5 linked regions of the Ovis aries genome follow. The protein of the gene in region 1 purifies or fractionates together with the protein of each later gene. This does not show direct contact. Links are inferred from orthologs where the notes say so. Each region holds a gene or a part of one and is shown in the gene's direction. Other genes may lie near its edges.

The links.
Region 2: the proteins of DYRK1B (region 1) and LZTS2 purify together in Homo sapiens (affinity purification with mass spectrometry; 3 studies listed by BioGRID and IntAct, counting the BioPlex papers as one, with this or other methods). This does not show direct contact. The link is inferred for Ovis aries from reciprocal best matches to the Homo sapiens genes DYRK1B and LZTS2.
Region 3: the proteins of DYRK1B (region 1) and FAM53C purify together in Homo sapiens (affinity purification with mass spectrometry; 3 studies listed by BioGRID and IntAct, counting the BioPlex papers as one, with this or other methods). This does not show direct contact. The link is inferred for Ovis aries from reciprocal best matches to the Homo sapiens genes DYRK1B and FAM53C.
Region 4: the proteins of DYRK1B (region 1) and FAM117B purify together in Homo sapiens (affinity purification with mass spectrometry; 3 studies listed by BioGRID and IntAct, counting the BioPlex papers as one, with this or other methods). This does not show direct contact. The link is inferred for Ovis aries from reciprocal best matches to the Homo sapiens genes DYRK1B and FAM117B.
Region 5: the proteins of DYRK1B (region 1) and DCAF7 purify together in Homo sapiens (affinity purification with mass spectrometry; 10 studies listed by BioGRID and IntAct, counting the BioPlex papers as one, with this or other methods). This does not show direct contact. The link is inferred for Ovis aries from reciprocal best matches to the Homo sapiens genes DYRK1B and DCAF7.

The regions. Positions count from the first base shown.
Region 1 is NC_056067.1:48,790,045-48,794,315, reverse strand, and holds the start of DYRK1B (dual specificity tyrosine-phosphorylation-regulated kinase 1B), read left to right. Parts: upstream 1-1,471; 5' UTR 1,472-1,625; coding exon 1,626-1,701; intron 1,702-2,963; coding exon 2,964-3,127; intron 3,128-4,137; coding exon 4,138-4,257; intron 4,258-4,271. Other genes in the region: FBL (rRNA 2'-O-methyltransferase fibrillarin), read left to right, coding at 166-311, 394-418.
Region 2 is NC_056075.1:21,595,505-21,599,594, forward strand, and holds the start of LZTS2 (leucine zipper putative tumor suppressor 2), read left to right. Parts: upstream 1-1,280; 5' UTR 1,281-1,380; exon of another isoform or gene 1,381-1,650; intron 1,651-1,873; exon of another isoform or gene 1,874-3,679; intron 3,680-4,054; exon of another isoform or gene 4,055-4,090. UniProt on the Homo sapiens protein: Negative regulator of katanin-mediated microtubule severing and release from the centrosome. Required for central spindle formation and the completion of cytokinesis.
Region 3 is NC_056058.1:47,411,221-47,414,606, forward strand, and holds part of FAM53C (protein FAM53C), read left to right. Parts: 5' UTR 1-80; coding exon 81-158; exon of another isoform or gene 159-544; coding exon 545-602; exon of another isoform or gene 603-1,605; coding exon 1,606-2,390; exon of another isoform or gene 2,391-3,309; coding exon 3,310-3,386.
Region 4 is NC_056055.1:204,885,999-204,889,510, forward strand, and holds part of FAM117B (protein FAM117B), read left to right. Parts: intron 1-2,251; coding exon 2,252-2,403; intron 2,404-3,512.
Region 5 is NC_056064.1:47,596,356-47,600,661, forward strand, and holds the start of DCAF7 (DDB1- and CUL4-associated factor 7), read left to right. Parts: upstream 1-1,504; 5' UTR 1,505-1,736; coding exon 1,737-1,874; intron 1,875-4,306. UniProt on the Homo sapiens protein: Involved in craniofacial development. Acts upstream of the EDN1 pathway and is required for formation of the upper jaw equivalent, the palatoquadrate. The activity required for EDN1 pathway function differs between the first and second arches.

The DNA.
Region 1 (4,271 bases):
TTCTGTTCCAAACCCAAACCAAATCGAAAACTTCTCTAACAAAGTCTTTCCGTATATTTCCAAAGCCTAGTCTCCAATAAAAACAAATTCTGCTGGTTTAAAGAAGCACAAAAACGGGGGAATATCCCAAAGCTTGCCTCAGACTTCAAATCCTCTCTTTTGCAGGCTAATTGCATTGACTCCACAGCTTCCGCCGAGGCTGTCTTTGCCTCTGAAGTGAAAAAGATGCAGCAAGAGAACATGAAGCCCCAGGAGCAGCTGACCCTAGAGCCGTACGAGAGAGACCATGCTGTGGTCGTGGGTGTGTACAGGTGAGCACGAGGCCCCATCAGTACTTGTTACGAGTGCCCCAAAGTGGTGACGGGCTCTTCTAAGTCCACTTTCTTCTCTCAGGCCACCTCCCAAAGTGAAGAACTGAAGCCCAGCGCCACTGGATCGCCAGAGAGTGTTGCTACTGTTACACGTTTGTTTTTCTATTAAAAGACTCATCAGTCGGTCCGTTTGCCGCTGATTGCTTGACGACGTCTATTCACAGGGCGCTCGCACGCTCTGTCCACTGGCCTGGTGGTGGGGGCGAGTCCTCCCACCCGGTCGCACTGCGCACGCTCCTCTCTTAGCTGCCTCCTGCGCAGCCGTAACTTGGACTTCGGCGCTTGGGCGGGGTCGGTAGCTCACTGCGCATGGATCCCAGTAAGGTTCTTTGAGCGCAACCGCGGAGCGCTGCCCTGGGTCACGTGAGGGGAAACAGCTTGGGGGGTGGGGGCGGAGTCCGAGGCGGGGGGGCCGGTTTGTTGTGGTCGCCATTTTGCTGGTTGCATTACTGGGTAATCGGGGCCCTGGCTCGCTGCGCTCGCCGGATATCTTCAGCCTGTGGGCAAGACTGAGCTCGGGCTTCCCGAGCAGCTTGAGTTCCCTTGCCCGCGCTCTCAGGTAAGGACGCGGCTCCTGGGGGACAGCACGCGTTCTCGGGGAGGGAGGGTAGTCTGGGACCCGCCCTGCCTGCGTCGCCGCGAGATTTAGCACGAGGCCGAAGGAGGAGAGAAGGGGGGCGGCGGGCAGGTGCAGGCCTTGCCTGGCTATTCATAGTCGGATTCCTGGAAGGGGCCGAGCCGGAGGGAGCAGTCTTAGGAGGGGGTAGCGGGGCCTCGCTCCCGCCCTTTGTTTGGGCTCGGCTCCGCCGGCCGCATCGTCGTCGCCTAGCAACCGCCGTCCTGCGCTGTGATTGGTTGGTCTCTTGGCAGCAACGACCAATGGCACGGTTGTTGCCATGGTAGGTGTGGACTGCCAAGTTCGGTCCGGCCCCGCCCGCCTGGGCTCCTCTGGCCGGGGCTGGCCTCCAGGGTGGGGGGCGGGACGCCGGGGTCCCCTGGGGAGGGTGGCTGCGCTGGGCGGGGCCGGCGGGGCGAGGGTTAACTCGCCCCTCCCCCGTCCACCTGCTTTCCCCTTCCCCCGCGTGCCCCGGGCTGACCCTAGTTTCCTTCTCTCCCCGCCCCTGGCGGCGGCGGCTGCTGCCTGCTGTTGTCACCCACCGGGCCGCCTGTCCCGCTTGCCCTCCCCGCCGCGGGGCTTGCCGGGCCGGCCGGGCCGGGACAGGCGGCTGTCTGCTCACCACAGCCACCACCGCCATGCTGGCCGCTCGCCCACCCAACTGGGGGCCCCATCGCGCTCCAGCCCCCCGTGGGCGCGCCAGCCCTGACCCGGGTATGGGGTGGAGGCTGGGAGAGAGGGTCCTGTTGTGGGAGGGGCCCGGGGCAGAGATTGCTTTGTGGGGGAGCTCCAAGAGAGAGGAGGGATCGTGGAGTGGCAGGGCTTGGCATGGGAGAAAGGATTGACAGGGGAGAAGGCCCGTGGGGAGAGGAGTCTGGTGTGGAAGATACTCTGGAAGGGGAGAACTCTGTGATATTTGGCGAATTTGGCTCTGGGGGACTTCTAGGAATGGGCACAGCTGTGGGTTGACCCTGGTGTGAAGGAGTAACTGGAGAAAGGGCCCTGACAGGAATATTGGTAGCGAGGGTGGGGGTAGGATCCATGGTAGGGGAGAGAAGGACGATCCACTCTAAAGCGCCGATAGAAACGCCTCCCCCTTGCTTCCCAAAGGAGTGGCCCTAGTGGGGGAGGGGGGAGCAGCTTGGAGTAATGTGAAGAAGGGCCCTGGTGTAGCATGCGGGAACTGGATATGGTTTGGGAAATTACTGGGGGGGTGGTCCCTGATGTGGGAGGAAATGATATGGAAGAGGTCTTGGCACTAAATGGGGAGGGTCCTCTGAGAAGGGTGTACCCTGGTGGGTGAGAATGCCTTGGGGTTAGGACTCTGTTATAAAGGGGTCCTTAGATAACCTTGGTGTGGTTGGGAGCTCCCTGAAGACCCTGGTGTGGTTTTAGGGGCCTGTAGAGGAGTCTGCTGTGATTTGGAGGGGGCCGAAAGACTCCCCTGTGGTTTGGGAGGGAGCCTAGAGTTCTCTGGATTGGGGGACCTACTGGGAAGGGTAGACCTTGAAGTGGAGGGACCGTCCTGTGGTAAGACAAAGTCCTGACGCTCCCAGACTACAGGAGGGGCCCTGAGGAGAGCCATACGTAGAAATGGGGAGGAGAGTGTGAACCCAGCTCCCTGTGCTGCCTGCGGTTTCTCTCTTCTCTTCCTCCCCCCAATTATTCATGTCTTTCTGTCCTTTCCTGTCACGGCTCACATCCCTGCCTGGCTCGCGATTGTTCCCTTTCCCATGTTCCCCTCCCCGTGCCGCCTGCTCCATGTATCTGGTCATCATTCGCGGGGGCTCTGCTGTGCCCCCCACCGCCACTTCTCTCTGTCCGCTCTTCACTGCCACCTGTTGACCCCTTGCACCCTTTTCTCCGCACTCTGTGCCCCGCCTTCTCTCTGCTGTCCACCTCTTTCCCGCTTGGCACTGGCCAACACATCCCTTTGTTCCATGTCCCCCCTCTCCCCCCACCCTGCCCCCTCTCAGGTCTCAGCGGCGGTGGCAGCCGAGGTGCAGGATGCGAGAAGGCGCCCCCCAGCCGGGCTCCCGCTCCAGGCCTCGCTCCCCTGCGGCCCTCTGAGCCCACCATGGCTGTCCCACCAGGCCATGGTCCCTTCTCTGGCTTCCCGGGGCCCCAGGAGCACACGCAGGTACGCGTTCCGCTGGCTCCTCACCTACCTGGGGGAGGGGGAGGCTGGGATAGAAGGGTCTTGGGGCCAAAAAAGATGATGTGGTTGCCTGGGACGGTCTGCCGGGCGTGAAGGGCGCCGTGGAAGTGGAAGATAGAGAAGAGTCGCTGGAGGAGTCGGGATTTGGAGAGCCTGGGTTACAATCCAGGCACAGTGGTTATTCCATAGGATCCCCATGTTTCAGTTCCCTGTTCTGTCAAATAAGACCCGAACCCTTCCTCACAGGGTTGTTGTGAAGATTAAACAAGTTCATAAAATGCAATTGGAAATGCTGAGAACAGTGCCGGGCACATAGTAAACACTCAGTAAATACTCATTAATGAAAAAAAAAATCCAAAGTGAAAGATCTGGAGGGGTTCAAAGGGAAGAAGCTTGAGTCTGAAGGATTTTGGAGCCAGCAGGGCCTGGGGGTGCAGGGTTAAGACCTTCAAGGGTAGACTGAAGACTGGGCTATAGAGCTTGAAACAGGATGGAGTACGAGGATCCGCGATCCTCAGGGTGAAGAAACCGGGCAGAGAGGCACAGAGAAGGGGTGCAGGGTCGGAGTGGGGAGGCCCCAAAGGGTGAGGATAAAACAAGATAGGAAGCCCCTCTGGGAGGGAGTCCCTGGATGGATGGTCTCCACTGAAGGATGGGGAGGGTCAGAGCCCAGGTTTCCAACCTCTCCCCCTGAGGTTTAGAAAAGAATCAAGGTATGTGATGAAAGGTCAGGGGTAAATCATTCACTTCGTGATTTACTCAGCAAATTGCTTATGAATACCCACTATGTGCGAGGCCCTGCTCCAGGCTCGGGAGAGAAGTAAAGTCTCTGTCCTTTGGGAGTTTCAATTCTAGTGGGGTTGTCAGACAGTGACCAGATAAATAACCCATGTGGTAATGGTGAGCCAACAGCCCACAGAGTTCGCCCCCTCGAGGTAGGGGTGGAGGCCCTCCCTCAGTGCCCACCGACTGGTCACCCTGCCTGTCCCCAGGTGCTGCCTGAAGTACGGCTCCTGCCGCGGAGGCTGCCCCTGGCCTTCCGAGACGCGACCTCGGCCCCGCTGCGCAAGCTCTCCGTGGACCTCATCAAGACCTACAAGCACATCAATGAGGTGGGCAGAGGAGC
Region 2 (4,090 bases), on another chromosome or scaffold:
AGATGCACACTACCAGGTCAGTCCTACCTGTAAGGATGTGGGTTCCACATTCTGGTCTTCTGTGCTCAGGAAATCTTTCAGGGATTTCCAAAAGGAGACTTTTATGAGGTCTATGAATTGGGGATAGAGGGATAGATACACACTTGCCTGTCTTGCCCCACCCTTCTAGCAGACAGCCTACACAGCAAACCAGAATGGTAGGGAGGAGGGGAAGCTAATGATCCCCCAGCCCCACCCCTACACACACACACACATTCCATTACACACCTGTCTTAAACCCCTCACGTGAAAATTAGCCCAAAGTATTTCAAGAGCCCCTGGAGCCCAAAAAGTAGCAGTTAATCCCTGGGTCCTATGTAAGGTCCCTAGGAGTCACTGTTTCTATACCCCACCTAAGAGGATTGAGGCAAACTGCCTGGGCTAGAACCAGTACTCGGCCTGTGCCCAACTGGAATCTTCCTGAGAGCTGAGGGAGAGCCTGGCCCAGTAGAATCCAGCTGGATCTGCAGGCTTGTCCTCAGATTCTCTAACCCCCTTGCCTGTAAGGGGGCAGCTTTGGTCCTCCATCCCTTCACTGGGGATGGGTCTCAGAAGAGACTCAACTCAAAGGGCTCCTGCTGCCCAAGTACTCAGGCTGCAGATATGACCCAAATACCTGTAGACATCACGGTCTGCCCTCCCACAGGCTGCCTTGGGTGCCATGGAGGGAGGGACCCTTTGGTGCAATACAGGTCAACTTCCTGTTTGTGCCTGTGGGTGGAACTTTATAAGTCTAAGAGAAGCCTGACTACACTCTGGTGGGGGGCGGGGGGCAAAACTGGCAAGCCTGCTCACCGGGCAGACACCTACTCCAGGGGAGGGGGAGGTGTTGGTTCTGCTTGAGCAGCCCCAACCTCAGAGGTGTGTGAGGAAGGGTGGGGTCTGTTTCGGTGAAATCCGAGCCTTCTTCGTCTGCTTCCCAGGGGTTTTCCCTGTGTCTGGGGAGTGGGCTGAGAGTGGACCAGGCTGGGCTCCCTACAGACCAGAGGATAGTGGCAGTAAAGCCCTATAGCCAACTTGGTTAGGGCAGCCAGGTAGCTTAGCTTAGCTGTGGCGCCGCTGGCCCCTTCCTAGATCGAAAGCCAGTTCCAGAAGCTGCGAAGTCAGAAGTCCGAGGGGCAGTCTTGGGCCACCGTCGCAACACTGCTTGGCAGGGTACCAGATCTGCTGCTGAGGGGGTGCTGGGCAGACCACTCCCCTGCCTTGGTCGGGGGCGCGGCCTCAGCCGCCCCGCCCCCTCCACCAAGCCCGGGCCGAGCGCGCTGGGGAGCCGGCGGATCTGCGACCAGGAGGTGCCGGCCCTGGGTCAGGAGCCCAGCGGGAGCTGGAACGGCGGTTAAGGTAGCGCTGGGTGAGTGAGTGGGGGCGCCGCGGCGGTGTAGGAACTCTCGCCTCCTGCACACCCCCGCCCCGGAGTGAAATTTCCCGATCCCGGGAAGCCGGGGATTGGGGTGAAGAGACGGGTCCTCAGTCCAGGGGCCGCGGGCGAAGAGTCTGAACAGGGAACCTACACGAAAACTCACACCGACGGGCGCACACACGCGTGCACACAGACCCACGCGCGTACTGGAGACACCTGAATACACGTGCACTGCGGGGCGGACGCGCCTAGTGAGTTTCGCTTGCTGTTGGCGGATCAGCGCCGCTGGCCCGCGCGGACCCCCAGCGGGCAGGGTGTGCTGCCGTCGCGTACTTGGTGAGGGTGGGAGAAAAGGGCCTCCCAGTGACCGCGGACGGGGGCGGGCCAGGTGGGACGCCTCCGGAGGTTCCGGCTTCCTTGCTGCCCGCAGGTGAAGACTAAGACGTAAACAGGCGTTGAGCACGTGATCGCTTCGCAGACCCGTGGGCTGTACGGGGGGAGCCTCGCGGCGGGAACCTCCCTCCGCAGTACTAAGCGAGTTTGAAAGATACATTGCCGGGCTGTATTCCATTCTCCCCTTGGAGGGGATAAGCCCTTCCCCAGGAATGGGAGCACAACGCCCCCCGGAGTTGGGGTAGCGAAGGAGGACAACAGACTGTTGGACTGAGAGGGTTGGTTACCTGGGCTCCTCACCTTCCTTCTCCGGAACATGTTGCCCCCATTCCTGAAGATACCCGAGAGGGGGGCAATTCTGGCAGTGTACAGCAGCCTCCGCCGGGACCTCCAGCCCCGGGGAGCATCTGCGCGAACGCCTGTGGGTCCCCTTTCTTACTACACTCCTCCTTGCGGCACTGGGAGCTCCTCCCCTCAAAGTAGGAGCAGAAAGCCCACTCACGCAAGAGTAGGAGTCCCCCTTCCCCAGAGAATGCATGACCGTACACATCCTCTCTATACCAGAGTGGGCCCGTCTCCCTCTGGTAGAAGGGAGCACGGCCCCCTCCCCCCAGCGAATGAGAGTGGGCAGCGGCCCTCGGCCTCCCTCTCCACCACCCTCCCTACCCCTCCACACACGCTGAGCCCAGCTGCTGCCTGAGCTTCTGGGCAGGCTGCCAGAAAGGGGAGGAGGCTCCTGGTGCCCCAGGAGGCTGGGATCAGGGCAAGGCCAGAAGAGGGGGTCTCTATGGGGGTGGGGCTCAGTCTGTACTTGTGAGGCAAGAGGGTCTAGGGTGAGCCTGAGGGTGGCTGGGCTATGTTTCCCTTTCCAGGGAAAAAGAAAGAAAACAACTCTTTCCATGGAGCTAAAAATAGAACTGAGAGCCGGCCAGGCTGCGGCCTGGAAGGGGGGGGCGGGGCGGGGGGAATGCTCCTTCCTGGGGCAGAGGAGCTCTGGCAGGCCTTAGTTCTGGGGGGCGGGGTTAGGGGGCAGGAGGCTGTCCTTGCCCAGGGATGCGGGCATCAGCTGACCTGGTTAGGTCACAGAAACCCCTATGGGAAAGTCTGTGTGATAAAATGTTTGTGAAATACGACGTGTATGTTTAAAAAGTTGTCTTTGTGACTGTGAAAAAGACTGTCATAGTGTGAAAAAAGCTTGGGAGGCAAGTATAGTCAAGACTGTGACTGGGTGCAAAGGAACTTGAGCTGTGAAAGCTTGTGCACAACTAGCCGTGATACCAAGTGTGTATCTCTGAGTTGGCCTGATTATGGCAAGAAGGGACATGGATCCTTCTGATGGACCAGACAGACTGAGTGATTGTGTCTGAGACTGAGTGTGGGAAAGGTCGTGTGGGTGTTTAGATTGTGTTGTTTGCCAGAGGGTGAGAGTATTCTTGACCCTGAGAAGACAGTGGAACGTTGTCTGCTGTGAGGCTGGCGTAAGCTTGGCCTGTAGGTTTGGACCAGCTCCCCCACTGGGGTGACTTTTGGGGGCCCAGGGGACGTCTCTCTCTTGAGCATTTACCTCTTAGCAAATGAGTCTGAGGGAAGGTTGGGGAGCAAAGAACCGCGCTCGAGGAAGGCCGGGGCTCTCCCGAGAGGGAGTACAGCACTGGGGAGAAGGGTAGGGGCCCCCCAAGTTTGGGGGTGGCTGTGTTCTCCGAACGGGCCGCCAGGTGGCGCCGCCTCCGCAAATCCTAGCGTGCCTTCTGCAAGCGGCTGGGGGTGGGGCAGGCACCCACCAAGCGTCGGCCCCCGACTTGTGCCAGGACGCAGGGCCAAGACTTGGGGGTTAGGTGACCCCCAACCTCCTTCTCTGGACTCTGAAGCCGGAGAGTGTGCCTAGGGGTGAGGCATCGACTAGAGGAGCGGAGGGGGAAGGGCGGCTGCCGCGGCGCCTGGCCCTTTGTGCTCGAACAATGACCAGCTGCCGCTGGCCCCGGGGCCCAAGTAAGGGTAAAGGGTGACCCGCCACCGCCTAGTCCTGAACCGACCGAGCCCCAGACACACAGCCATCGCTCCTCGGAGGGAGGGAATCTGAGTCCTGCTGCGTAGCTCCAGCGTGCGCCCCGCCGGACACGCGTGACGCCGGGTGCCTGCGCGTGTCCGCGCCCCGGGGGCGGGGTCACCCCTCGGACCCTCCCCCGCGCTGCACCGCCCACTTGGGCCGGGCGGGGGCCAGGCCGGGCTGGGGGCGCCGCGGAGGCGGGGCCGGGTCGGACCGGGCCGCTCCGAGTGGCGGCGCGCGGCAGGCTGGAG
Region 3 (3,386 bases), on another chromosome or scaffold:
ATGAGTGAGGTCTGGAAGAACAACAGGGAAGACATCCATCATTTGCTCCAAAGTGTGCAAGTCAAATCCTGGGGAGAATCATGATAACCCTGATCACTGAGCAGCTACAGAAGCAGACTCTGGATGAGCTGAAATGCACACGCTTCAGCATCAGTCTGGTAAAAGACAGTCTTCCCACTTCTCTAAGACCCCCTTGCCCTTTTTTCTGAGGCTATTTGTTGTTACTACTTCACCCTTGTCCTGCGTTGTATGAATCATGGTACTTGTACTGGATGTGCCCGCTAAAGGCTCAAAACCTAGCCCAAAAGGAAGGGGGCAAGGTTTTTCTTACTGTTAAGAGAAGGGCCACTAAAATTTGGGTGGAGAAGGGTTTGAGATACTGGAAGATGTGAATTATTTTACTCACTAACTTTGGGAGGATAAGAAGAGAACACTTAGATGTCCCTAATATCCCTATAGCCCATGAATTGCAGGGGTGAGCTGAAGGGGCTTCCTGGAACTCTGTCCTGATCTTGAATCATGATGGATATTCTGTGTCTCTTAGCCTTTGCCTGATCATGCAGACATCTCCAACTGTGGGAACCCTTTCCAGCTTGTGTCTGGTAAGACATGATGTGTTTATGTGTGTGTATGCCCATGCCTCCATCCACGTTTCTTTTATTGGTTTTCCATAACCAGGTCTAGCTAGCCTGCCTCCACAATTTTCTTAAATAGGAAAAGTGTTAATCTGAAAAAAGTGCCCCTTCCTTTTCTATCTACCGAGCTTCTATCACCTCCCTAAAAGTAATTCCTTTTATTAGTTTCTTGTCTATTCAACCAGAGTTTTTGTTTTTGTTTTTTCACAAATAGAATCAAATAAAAATGTAAATTTTTTTTATTCACACTCTTTTAATACAAAAGGTTGGATTCTGTATATTTGGAACTTTCTTTTTAAACTAATCATAATAAAACTAGAAGATCTTTCCATGTAAGTATGTTGAGCGTTTCCTTGTGGGTGGCCAGACCCAGAGGAACACAAGCACCATCAAAGGCCTTTCCCACTGTACCCTCCCCACCCTTGCCTTCACTAAGAATACAGATGATCTCTTACCTGCTTGATCACCCTGTCTTGGTGCTTTGACACATAGGAAAGGTAAAGGCTAAGGACGGAGAGTGTAGGCCAGCTTTCCGCAACTCAGGGCTTGGGGGTTGGGGGAGCAAAGTAGAGCTTGGTGGAGTGGAGTGAAAGATGAGCGTGGCACACACACCTTTGCTTCTCTTGACTCATTCTACCTTTGACACGGATTCACAGGCAGTTTATGATTCTATATTTTTAGTTTCAGGTGGTTCCTCGTAATGGAGGCACTATAGTCTGCTGGGTAAAAGATCTAGCTTTAGCATCGGACAAATCTGGTTCTGAACCCTGCTTTGGTCATTTGATTCCTGCATAACTGTTGGCAAGTTACGGAACTTCTCTCATCTGTGAAATCGGGGTAGTGATAGTACCTAACTCATGAAGTTTAGGGGAAACCTCACATAAAGCTCACTATGTTTTGTAGCACATAGTAAGCTCTTGAAAATATATTAGCTATCATTAATTCTGTCTTTATTATGAATGCCTTCCAGAAGGTGCTTCCTGGAGGGGCCTGCCCCACTGTTCCTGTGCCGAGTTCCAGGATAGCCTCAACCTCAGCTACCACCCCTCAGGCTTGAGCCTGCACCTCAGACCACCCAGCCCAGGAAGTTCCCCACAGGAGCAGTCCCTCTCCCAAGTCCTAAGCCCTGAGCCCCCAGACCCAGAAAAGCTTCCTGTGCCCCCTGCCCCTCCATCTAAGAGGCACTGCCGCTCACTCTCAGTGCCCGTGGACCTGTCTCGCTGGCAGCCAGTGTGGCGGCCCGCCCCCTCCAAGCTGTGGACTCCCATCAAGCACCGGGGCAGTGGTGGAGGGGGTGGGCCACAGGTGCCTCACCAGAGCCCCCCGAAGCGGGTCTCCAGCCTCAGGTTCCTCCAAGCTCCCAGTGCCTCGTCTCAATGTGCCCCAGCCCACAGACCCTACAGCCCCCCTTTCTTCAGCCTGGCCCTAGCCCAAGATTCTTCTCATCCCTCTGCCGCCTCCCCACAAAGTGGCTCCTGGGAGAGTGATGCTGAGTCCCTGTCACCTTGCCCACCCCAACGCCGCTTCTCCCTGTCACCCAGCCTGGGCCCACAGGCAAGCCGCTTCTTGCCCTCTGCCCGGAGCTCCCCTGCATCCTCCCCAGAGCTGCCCTGGCGACCTCGAGGCCTGCGCAATCTTCCCCGAAGCCGCTCACAGCCTTGTGATCTTGATGCCCGCAAAGCTGGGGTCAAGCGGCGCCATGAGGAGGACCCTCGGCGGCTGCGGCCTTCCTTGGACTTCGACAAGATGAATCAGGTGGGACCGGCAAGACCAGGGAAGCTAGGATGGGAGTAGCGAAGACTGTTCCATTTTCACTTGTAAAGTGTCCTCTAGCTCCAGGCCCTCCTGACATGGCCTCCCCTGGCACTCCTGTCTGCCTGAGCCTTGGCTAAGGGTTGTCTACCATCTCAGTTTGCCCAGGATTATCCTTGTGTTAGCATTGAAAGTCCTGTGTCCTGTGAAATTCCTGTTCTGGGAGTTCCAGAGAAACTTATTGGACCCATGTTAAACCTTCCAACAGAGATCCCAGATTGTCCTACCGGAGGCATCTTCCCTCTTTATGCATGGGTCAGAAAAGCCCCATCATTAGTGCCCTGCCCCTTTTCATGCAAGGCTGGTTTTGTCCCTTGCCCTTCGCTGCTTCACGTGGGCCTGTGAGGGCTTAAGCAGAATAGGCTGCTGCGTCACTCATTCACTCAACAAGTGTTTTTTGTCTTCCCAATGTGAGTACAGTTGTTGTAGGCACTTGCCCACTCTTTTCATATTCTTCCTTCTAGACCACTGGGTCATAAACCGCTTTGAGAACTTACTTATTCATAGTCATTCGTTCAATCAGTCAGCAAATGTTATTGAATATACATAACAGACTCCGACTAGGCACTAGCAATATAGGAGTGAAACAAGCCGTCAGTCAGTACTCCTACACACATGAAGTTTATAAACAGGCTTCTAATCTTGAATCTGATAGAAACTATGGGCTCTTTTCCTCAAAAAAATATGCATGTACACTAAATTTTCAAAATTTTATCTGGGAGTTATGACCTCACCTTAACACATAGGACTCCTGCTTTCAAGGGTAACCAAGAGGGGTACTTTGAAATACAGCTTGGGCAGGGTTCTCTGGGAAGTTAACATCTTTCTTTGCCTTAATTTTGTTTGTTTGTTTGTTTGATAGAAACCATACTCAGGAGGTCTCTGTCTCCAAGAAACAGCCCGGGAAGGCAGCAGTATCTCTCCACCATGGTTCATGGC
Region 4 (3,512 bases), on another chromosome or scaffold:
CTTAGTCTTTTTAATTTCTAGGGCTTAGCACTGGCTTCCAGACCCTTAGTAAATGTTTACATGAAGGGAGTTCAAAAGAAAATGTTTAGTGTTTTTATGTGTGACCACATATAATTTTTCTATTCTCCCTTGTGTTATGGAAAATCAGTCTTAGAAAGTCTAGTTGAAAAGTCAGTGCTTGGATAATATAAAATCTTGATGAAATCAGACCTATTTGATTAATACACTGAACAGTGATGGAAGCAATGTTGTAGTTAAGGAAGAGAAGGGCCAGACAGCTTTTAACAATTGGATTTTAATGAATATACTCCAGTTTACATAGTCTGTGTCCCTTTTTTGTGGCCAAGAACAATAGTTTTGTGACCATCCCGGTAGAGATTCATTTTTTAGTTAAAGGAAAAATCATGTACATGTATATTTATTGCTTTTCACTTGTTATAGGTGAGTATATGCTTCCTTGAACTTATGGATATGTACTGTATTTATTTTGTGTTTAACTATAAAAGGAAGACACTGCAGAGATATGGTTAGCATTTGCAACATTTAGGCATTGTTTTAGTGAAATAATTGTGCCATTTTGAAAACAAATTATGTATCTGAGGCATATCTTGTGAAGCAACTTTTATGATTATCAGCAACACAGCTGATAAAACTATTATCTTGGTGGAATTGAATCTCTTATTATTTGGGTCACATAACCAACAACTGAACTTTTATACTTGTAACTATATAAGACCCTTGTCAAGAAATAATGTGATATGATTAGAAGAGAGGCATCCTAAAATGTTTTCATATATGGCCTTAAGAAAAACAAGGTATTTGTTATATAGAGAGAGCTAGAATGGTAGCATTATAATGTTCATGTTTCATATTTTTAAATCCTTTAATTTAAAAATTTTTGTAATATAATTAGCTAAGCCTATTACTTTCCCCCTTCAAAAAAGAAAAAAAAAGGAAATAGAGTATTTTTTCTGTATTGCTCTAACTTCCTATTACCTCTAGTTTCTTTTCTTTTTTTTTTTATAGTTTTTATTTTTGGCGTATATCTAAATACATATCCTGTATCTTGAAATGGAAAATATATTTGCATATATGTCTTCAAGTATAGCTCCTATAGGCTGGTTAGTTTGGTTTCTTGAAGTCTATTTATTATAACAAAACTCAGTAAGACATGTGCCTGACAGAGCTGATTAAAGTGAAATTTTACCTGTAACTTTATCTTAGCTGCCTTATTTCCTTTTGAGTGAGTATAGGTGGTGTAATAACAAGTGATATTTACCTATTACACGTACTTAATCTTAAACCCAAGGTGAGCATTTTAAAAATGGGTAGATAAGGATGGTGGCCTTTCTTATTATGCCTTTTTGTCTCTTAGGACACATTAAGCTCGTAAATCCTCTCATGGGTAATATTGATACATTTGTCTTATTTTCTGTTTTTTTGTAGAGATTAATTGTAGTTGTAAGAAATACAGAGATCTTTTGTACGTTTAGCCTATTTTCCCCAGTGATAACATTTTTGTAGGATTACGTAGGATTTTGACGTTGTACAAACCACTGTTCTTACTCAGATTTCTTCCGTTTTTACTTGTACTTGTGTGTATGTGTTTTAAATTCTCTACTGCTTAATCTTCTTTTTATGTTTGTACATCCCCACTACAGTCAAGATGCTGAATAGTTTCCTGTCACCAAAGGGTCCTGCATATTGCCCTTTTGTAACATCTGCTCCTCTCCTGTACTTCACTTTCCCTCTTCCTATCTGCTAGTGGATCCCTGGCAACCATTAATCTTTCTTCCATTTCTAACATTTTGTCATGTCAAAAATGTACAAATGAAGTCATAAGTAGCCATTTGAGAGTGACTGTTTTTACTTAATATGTCTGGAAATGAAATGAAGTTGCTTCAGTCATGATCAACTAAGTCTTTGCGACCCTGTGGACTGTAGCCTGCCAGGCTCTTCTGTCCACAGGATTTTCCAGGCAGGAATACTGGAGTGGGTTGCCATTTCCTTCTCCAAGGGATTTTCTCGACCCAGGGATTGAATCTGAGTCTCCCGCATTGCAGGCAGACTCTTTATCTTCTCAGCCACCAGGAATCCCTTAATGTGAGAGCCATCCAAGTTTGTGTGACTCAGTAGCTTATTCCTCTTTGTCACTCACATTTTATATTTAAGTTAGAGAAACTCTACCTAGTTTCTGCTTTGTTTCCTTCCTAAGCTATTTTTTAAATAAATGTATCTGTCTTAAATCTAGGGGACAAAACGAGACCACCTTCCTCCAGCCCCTCTAGCATCATCCGCCGTACCTCCTCCCTGGATACACTCGCTGCTCCGTACCTAGCAGGGCACTGGCCTCGTGATGGTCATGGGCAAGCTGCTCCTTGCATGAGGGACAAGGCCACACAGGTAGGTTTATTACAGTTCTTATCTTGAAGTGTTTCACTCTGAAACCATTTCTCATAATATTGTTTATTCTACTCTGCTCTCAAATTCTTAAAACTAGTATGTATTAGCATTATCTGGGAAGCTTATCAAAAATGCAGATCCCCAGGCTTGACCTTGAATGTTCTCCAGTAGGTTTTGGTTGAGTCTTAAGAATGTGCATTTGAAACAGTTCTCAAAGGAATTCTGATATATGCAGTAATTTATGGACATGTTTTCTCTCACTTTTTTATAGTTTAGAACATCACAGTAAATTTAATTTATGGAATTTGGACTTAAAAATTTGTTACAATAAAGGTTACTTTTTCATCCCACCTTATATTTTTGTGCCAAAAATCTTCATGTTTTGGGAAATGGGGATGATTTTATATTGCTGATAGAATCTATAAATGTAGATATCCTGACAAAGGGACTCTGGAAACAAAGTTTTGTACTTTTAGATTTATAAAAAGTTTTAATTAAAGGGATCTTAAAGGATCATTTGATCTAACTCCTAGTTTTACGGGTGAGGAAACTAAAGTCCAAGATCATAAAGCCAGTTGTTGACTGTGTCTTAGTTGGGTGTAGTTTCTGTTGCAGCAACTTAACTACAATTATAATTTAATTAAATCTTTGTATAATCATTTAATGTTTCTCATAGTCATTAGATGGCAAGCCCATGAAGGCAGGAACTGTCTGGCTTGCCCATTTTTATATTTTCATCCTCAGAAATTAGTACTATACTAGATGGAATAAGCACTCCAGGAATATTTGCAATGGATTGAATGAGCAGAACAGTTAAAGCTTTTTGGCTAGTGAAGAATGAAAATCATTTTAAAGAGTTAAAAGATCCTTGATACTGACTGTTGAAAATCAACTAAGGTACATCTTGATTTAGACTTTAAATTTACGTCACTTGATGGTTGCTTGATCTCAGCACTTTATGAGAGAGCGTTCTTTTACAGGACCAAGTACATACACTTTGCAATGGTTTTTAGATTTACATATTGGTTTCCAGAATTCCATTAGTTTGTTTTCTGTTTTCTGTTCTGATACTCTTAAAACCGAGTCCCACTATTAGGGTAGATACTTAG
Region 5 (4,306 bases), on another chromosome or scaffold:
CACACACACACACACACACACATAATTTAAGGGTTACACTTTAAGGGTTACACTTATTAGTACTGGGTTTTTCAAAACAACATAAATACTTCTATTTAAATTTTTATAGAAACTAAAATTTTATTGACATACACCTCTTAAAAGAGGGAATTTTTCTCTCAATTAGTTCATGTGAGTGGATAAATATTATTTTTTTGTTACAGTAAAACATAATAAGCCCAGAGAAAGTTGTTCACATAAGGAAGCAGAAGTTACTTTAAGGGGATTGTTATATATATAACAGTGACACTCAGTTCTTTGAATTCTGAGTTGTGTTAACAATCACATCACTAAAAGCTATACTTAATGATGTGTTAAGTCACTTCAGTCGTGTCTGACTCTTTGCAACCCCATGGACTGTAGCCCGCTAGGCTCTGCTGTCGATGGGGTTTTCTAGGCAAGAATACTGGGCTGGGTTGCCATTTCCTCCTCCAGGAGATCTTCCCCACCCAGGGATCGAACCTGAGTCTCCTGCATTACACAGGCGGGTTTCTTTGTACCACTAGCGCCACTTGGGAAGGCCCATACTTAATGTTATCACCAACAATTCATTACAATCCTCCTTTAGTTGTTTTGAAAGCAAACCATTGGAAACTATTTAAATTATAAACAGACGTTACCTAGAATCGGACCTTTCTCCATTTCAAACTGAAGACACAGATACAGCATTTAGGGCTGGATTAGCAATTGCCTTGGTACCCTAGCGGGAAGGATGAAATGGGGAGGAATAAACAGTGAGAGCCACGCTGGTGTGGCTGCCGCCTGCTGAGGGCCGACCCTAGAATTCCGAGCGTTTTTACGATGACAAGGAGAGCGCACGGACTGTAGCTGGGCCTGGGCCCGAGTACACATCGGTGTGTCCATGTGAAAACGGTGTGTTCGCGGCCTGTCCTTGGGGCGCTGGGGAACAACATTACGGCTTAACTGGGACGCTGGCACGAGCGGGGAATTTCGCGTTCCGGCACAGGCCAGGCAGCCAGGCCACCAAACTCAGAGCCCTGAAATACAGCAGGTCCTCCGGTAAGGGAGAATTTTCATTTTTACTCGACAGCGTGGAGTAGCTTCTGGGACTAGCAGCTGCAGTGGGGAAATGAGAGCAGGTCACACAAAAAGTCTCACTTTCAGACACTTGGCCTAGAACTCGGAGTCCCACTGCCTCGCTCGCCAGCCGCTTGGCCACCCACGCCCCCATTCACCCGCACTGCGCCGTTATCTCTCTGACTGACACCTTTGTCAGCCAATGATCTTTGGGATTGTGTAAGCGCCTGCCCCACCTCCGGAGTTGGGCGGGGCAAGTGGCTGGAATGACAAACACTTAGGCCAATAGCAAGGAGGTTTCAAAAGCTTAGGGCACAATAGCCAATGAGAGGAAGGAACCGTTCGAAAAGACGTGTCAGACAGCCAACGGCCAGCGGCGCTGCGGGGGTCGCGTGGCTTCCGTTCCGAGTGGGCGGGGCAGTGTCTCAAACGGAAGGTGGTTGTTGTCCGAGCCAAAGCTGGTTTGAAACTGGGGGTCGGGCCCGGCAGTCGTTGTCTGTTGCCACCGCCCCGCTTCCGGGCTAGGCCGTCCCTGCCCGCCCCCGCCCCGCCTCCCTTCGGACCCCTGGGTCCCAGGCCCGGCTCCCTGCCCGTTTTGCGCCCGGCTCGCGACAGCCCGCTCCCGTCCCGGTCCTCACTGCGGCCCCTTCGCCTCCACCATGTCACTGCACGGCAAACGGAAGGAGATCTACAAGTATGAAGCGCCCTGGACCGTCTACGCCATGAACTGGAGCGTGCGGCCCGACAAGCGCTTTCGCCTGGCGCTGGGCAGCTTCGTGGAGGAGTACAACAACAAGGTGGGCCGGGCAGGGGCTCGGAACCCGGCTGGCGGGGAGCGGGCCCCGGGAGCGCCCTTTCTGGGCCGGAGCCCAGACCCCAGGACCCTCCTGCGGACTTGCCTTAGCACCACGGAGCGGTTCCTCTGTGTCTGGTCCTGTGCAGAGAGTTTCGCTCTCTTTATCGCATTTAATCCTTGAAACATTCCTGGGTAGTCAAGAGTGTAGTTACCCCCATTTTACTGATGGGGAAACTGAGGCACCGTGTTGCAGCTTACCCGGGTCAGTTATTTCGTGACGGAAACAGGTCTCAAACCCAAGTTTACACCCCAGAGCTATGCGATTTATCACTAGTATCCGCTCCCCTGTTGCACTGCTTCAGTTTAGGGGGCAGAAGATGGATGAGGGAATGATGGCTGTGAAGAAAATGCGCTTACGATGGTCATTCCCTTCTGGCCACACTAGATTTCTGTTAGGTCTGGTTATTGCGCAGGCTTTCCCGCCCCCTACACCCACCCGCAGGTACTATTATTGATGGATTTGTCGGGATTGCCATCGCTGTTGGGACCTCGTGTTCCTCCTCTTCACCGCGATCTCCTTTTGGAAATCTTGACCAGTGATCCCGCCGTTGTTTTCCAAATAGAGAAGGATGTTAACTTGGTGTATCTTTTCTTGGCATCTTTCTTGCTAATACAGATATATAGCCTTGAGCAGTAAGTCTTTCTGGACATCCGGAATTTGAGAATCCTTCATAGAAAGCAGTAGGAGGAAACTTTAAGCTGGTAGTGCAGTATAAATTTGTTTTTGAAAGTTGTTGAATAAGTTAGTGGAAGAATTTTCTTTCCTTGGCTCTTTAAATCTCTTCCATTTTGTATTAGAGTAAACGTGGTGATTGGTCGTAATCAGAGCGACTGAGAGCCGTGCTTAGCGGTGTTTAAAGCCTGTACACCTGCTTGACACCATGAGCACTGTGACTTAGGAAGAATAGCCTATGTGGATGGTGACAGGCATGGTGCAGGGAAGAAAGGCAGGTGCTCTAGGGTTGGCTGCCCTGTCTAGTCCACTGACTGGCGATGGGGCACTGCACAGGTCAGTTTTATTATTTCTCACCCACAGATTGTTGTAGGCAAGTTCTTTTTTAAACATAAAGGTCCTGTAAAAAACATTTGAACATTGTAACTTTGTTTACAGATTTTCAGGAGCACATCTGTTTCTTTGGAGTTGTCTTAACCTTTCTGGAATCCCCTTTAAGAAATTGATGAAAGTGATGGACTCTCATTACCCAAACATCATATATATATAATTTACAAACAAATCCCAGGGAATTTGCACTGATCTTGGGGCTCATCCATTGCCCACAGAAAGCAGAGAGTCCTGACCAGACTTAGCTTTAAAAGACATAGCTTTATTTCCTTTTCTCGGTTGCCTCTTTCTTCCTAATGGCTGGGTTGTGCATAGCAGAGTGGGAAATAGAATTCAAGGTACTGATGTGTGAAGTGGAATAGAACTGTTGTTTTAAGAATACATGTTGGGAAGAAAAAAAAAGTAAAACGTATCTTTCAAAGGACTTGAGTCTTTCACACCGATTTTTTTTGCCTTGCAAGTTCTTGCAGGGTCATATTTTGGGGGGCGGGGGGGCGAAGTAGAAAAGAATATCTTTATTGCTTTGTCAAGGCAAAAGGGGCCACAGTGGGCTAATGCCCTCGTAACTGTGTGTTCCAGCCTGGAGGGAGCAGTGAGAAGTTTTATAGAAATGGTTCAAAGAGAGGGTGATCAGCTCGTGGGCATTCTTCCGATGGATTGTGATTGGTGGGTGGTGAGGTAAGTGGGAGTCAGCATCATCAACCTTCTGGTTGCAGCTGCTCTGGGCTCTGCATGCTTGTGAGAGCATACAGTCAGCTTCCTCCACCTGGGGGGGAGTTTCAGTATTGAGCCCCAGGTTCTTGATGTCTTATCTCAGGAAGAGTTTGGTGAGAGACAAAGTGATAGGTAAGAAGTGGATTTATTAAAGAGAAACACACTCCACAGACAGAGTGTGGGCCATCTCAGAAGGTGAGAGTGGCCTCACAATCTAGGAGCTCCGTTTCCAAAAGGGGAGAAACTGAGCTACACTGTTAGGCTGCTGGTGCAATCAGTGGAGTAATTGGTGTCAAACCTCGGTTGCAGGAACTCCACCCCAAAGTTTGTCCTTCCATTTAGTAACTGTATGGAGCTCCTTCTTTGTGCCAGGCACACAGGCAGTGCGGTTTTAGGGAGATGCAAACTGCTAATCCTAGGAGCAGCAAGCAAGTGGTCACCTCTGTCTTAACTCACTTGCGTGGTGTAGGCAATGCAGCATCTTGCCTTCTGTTTTTATGTCCCCACCTATCTAGGTTAGAGTTCTTAACGTGTGTGTGTGCGTGTGAGAGAGAGAGAGATGGACACCTTTGGCACTTTGAAGCCAACAGACCTCT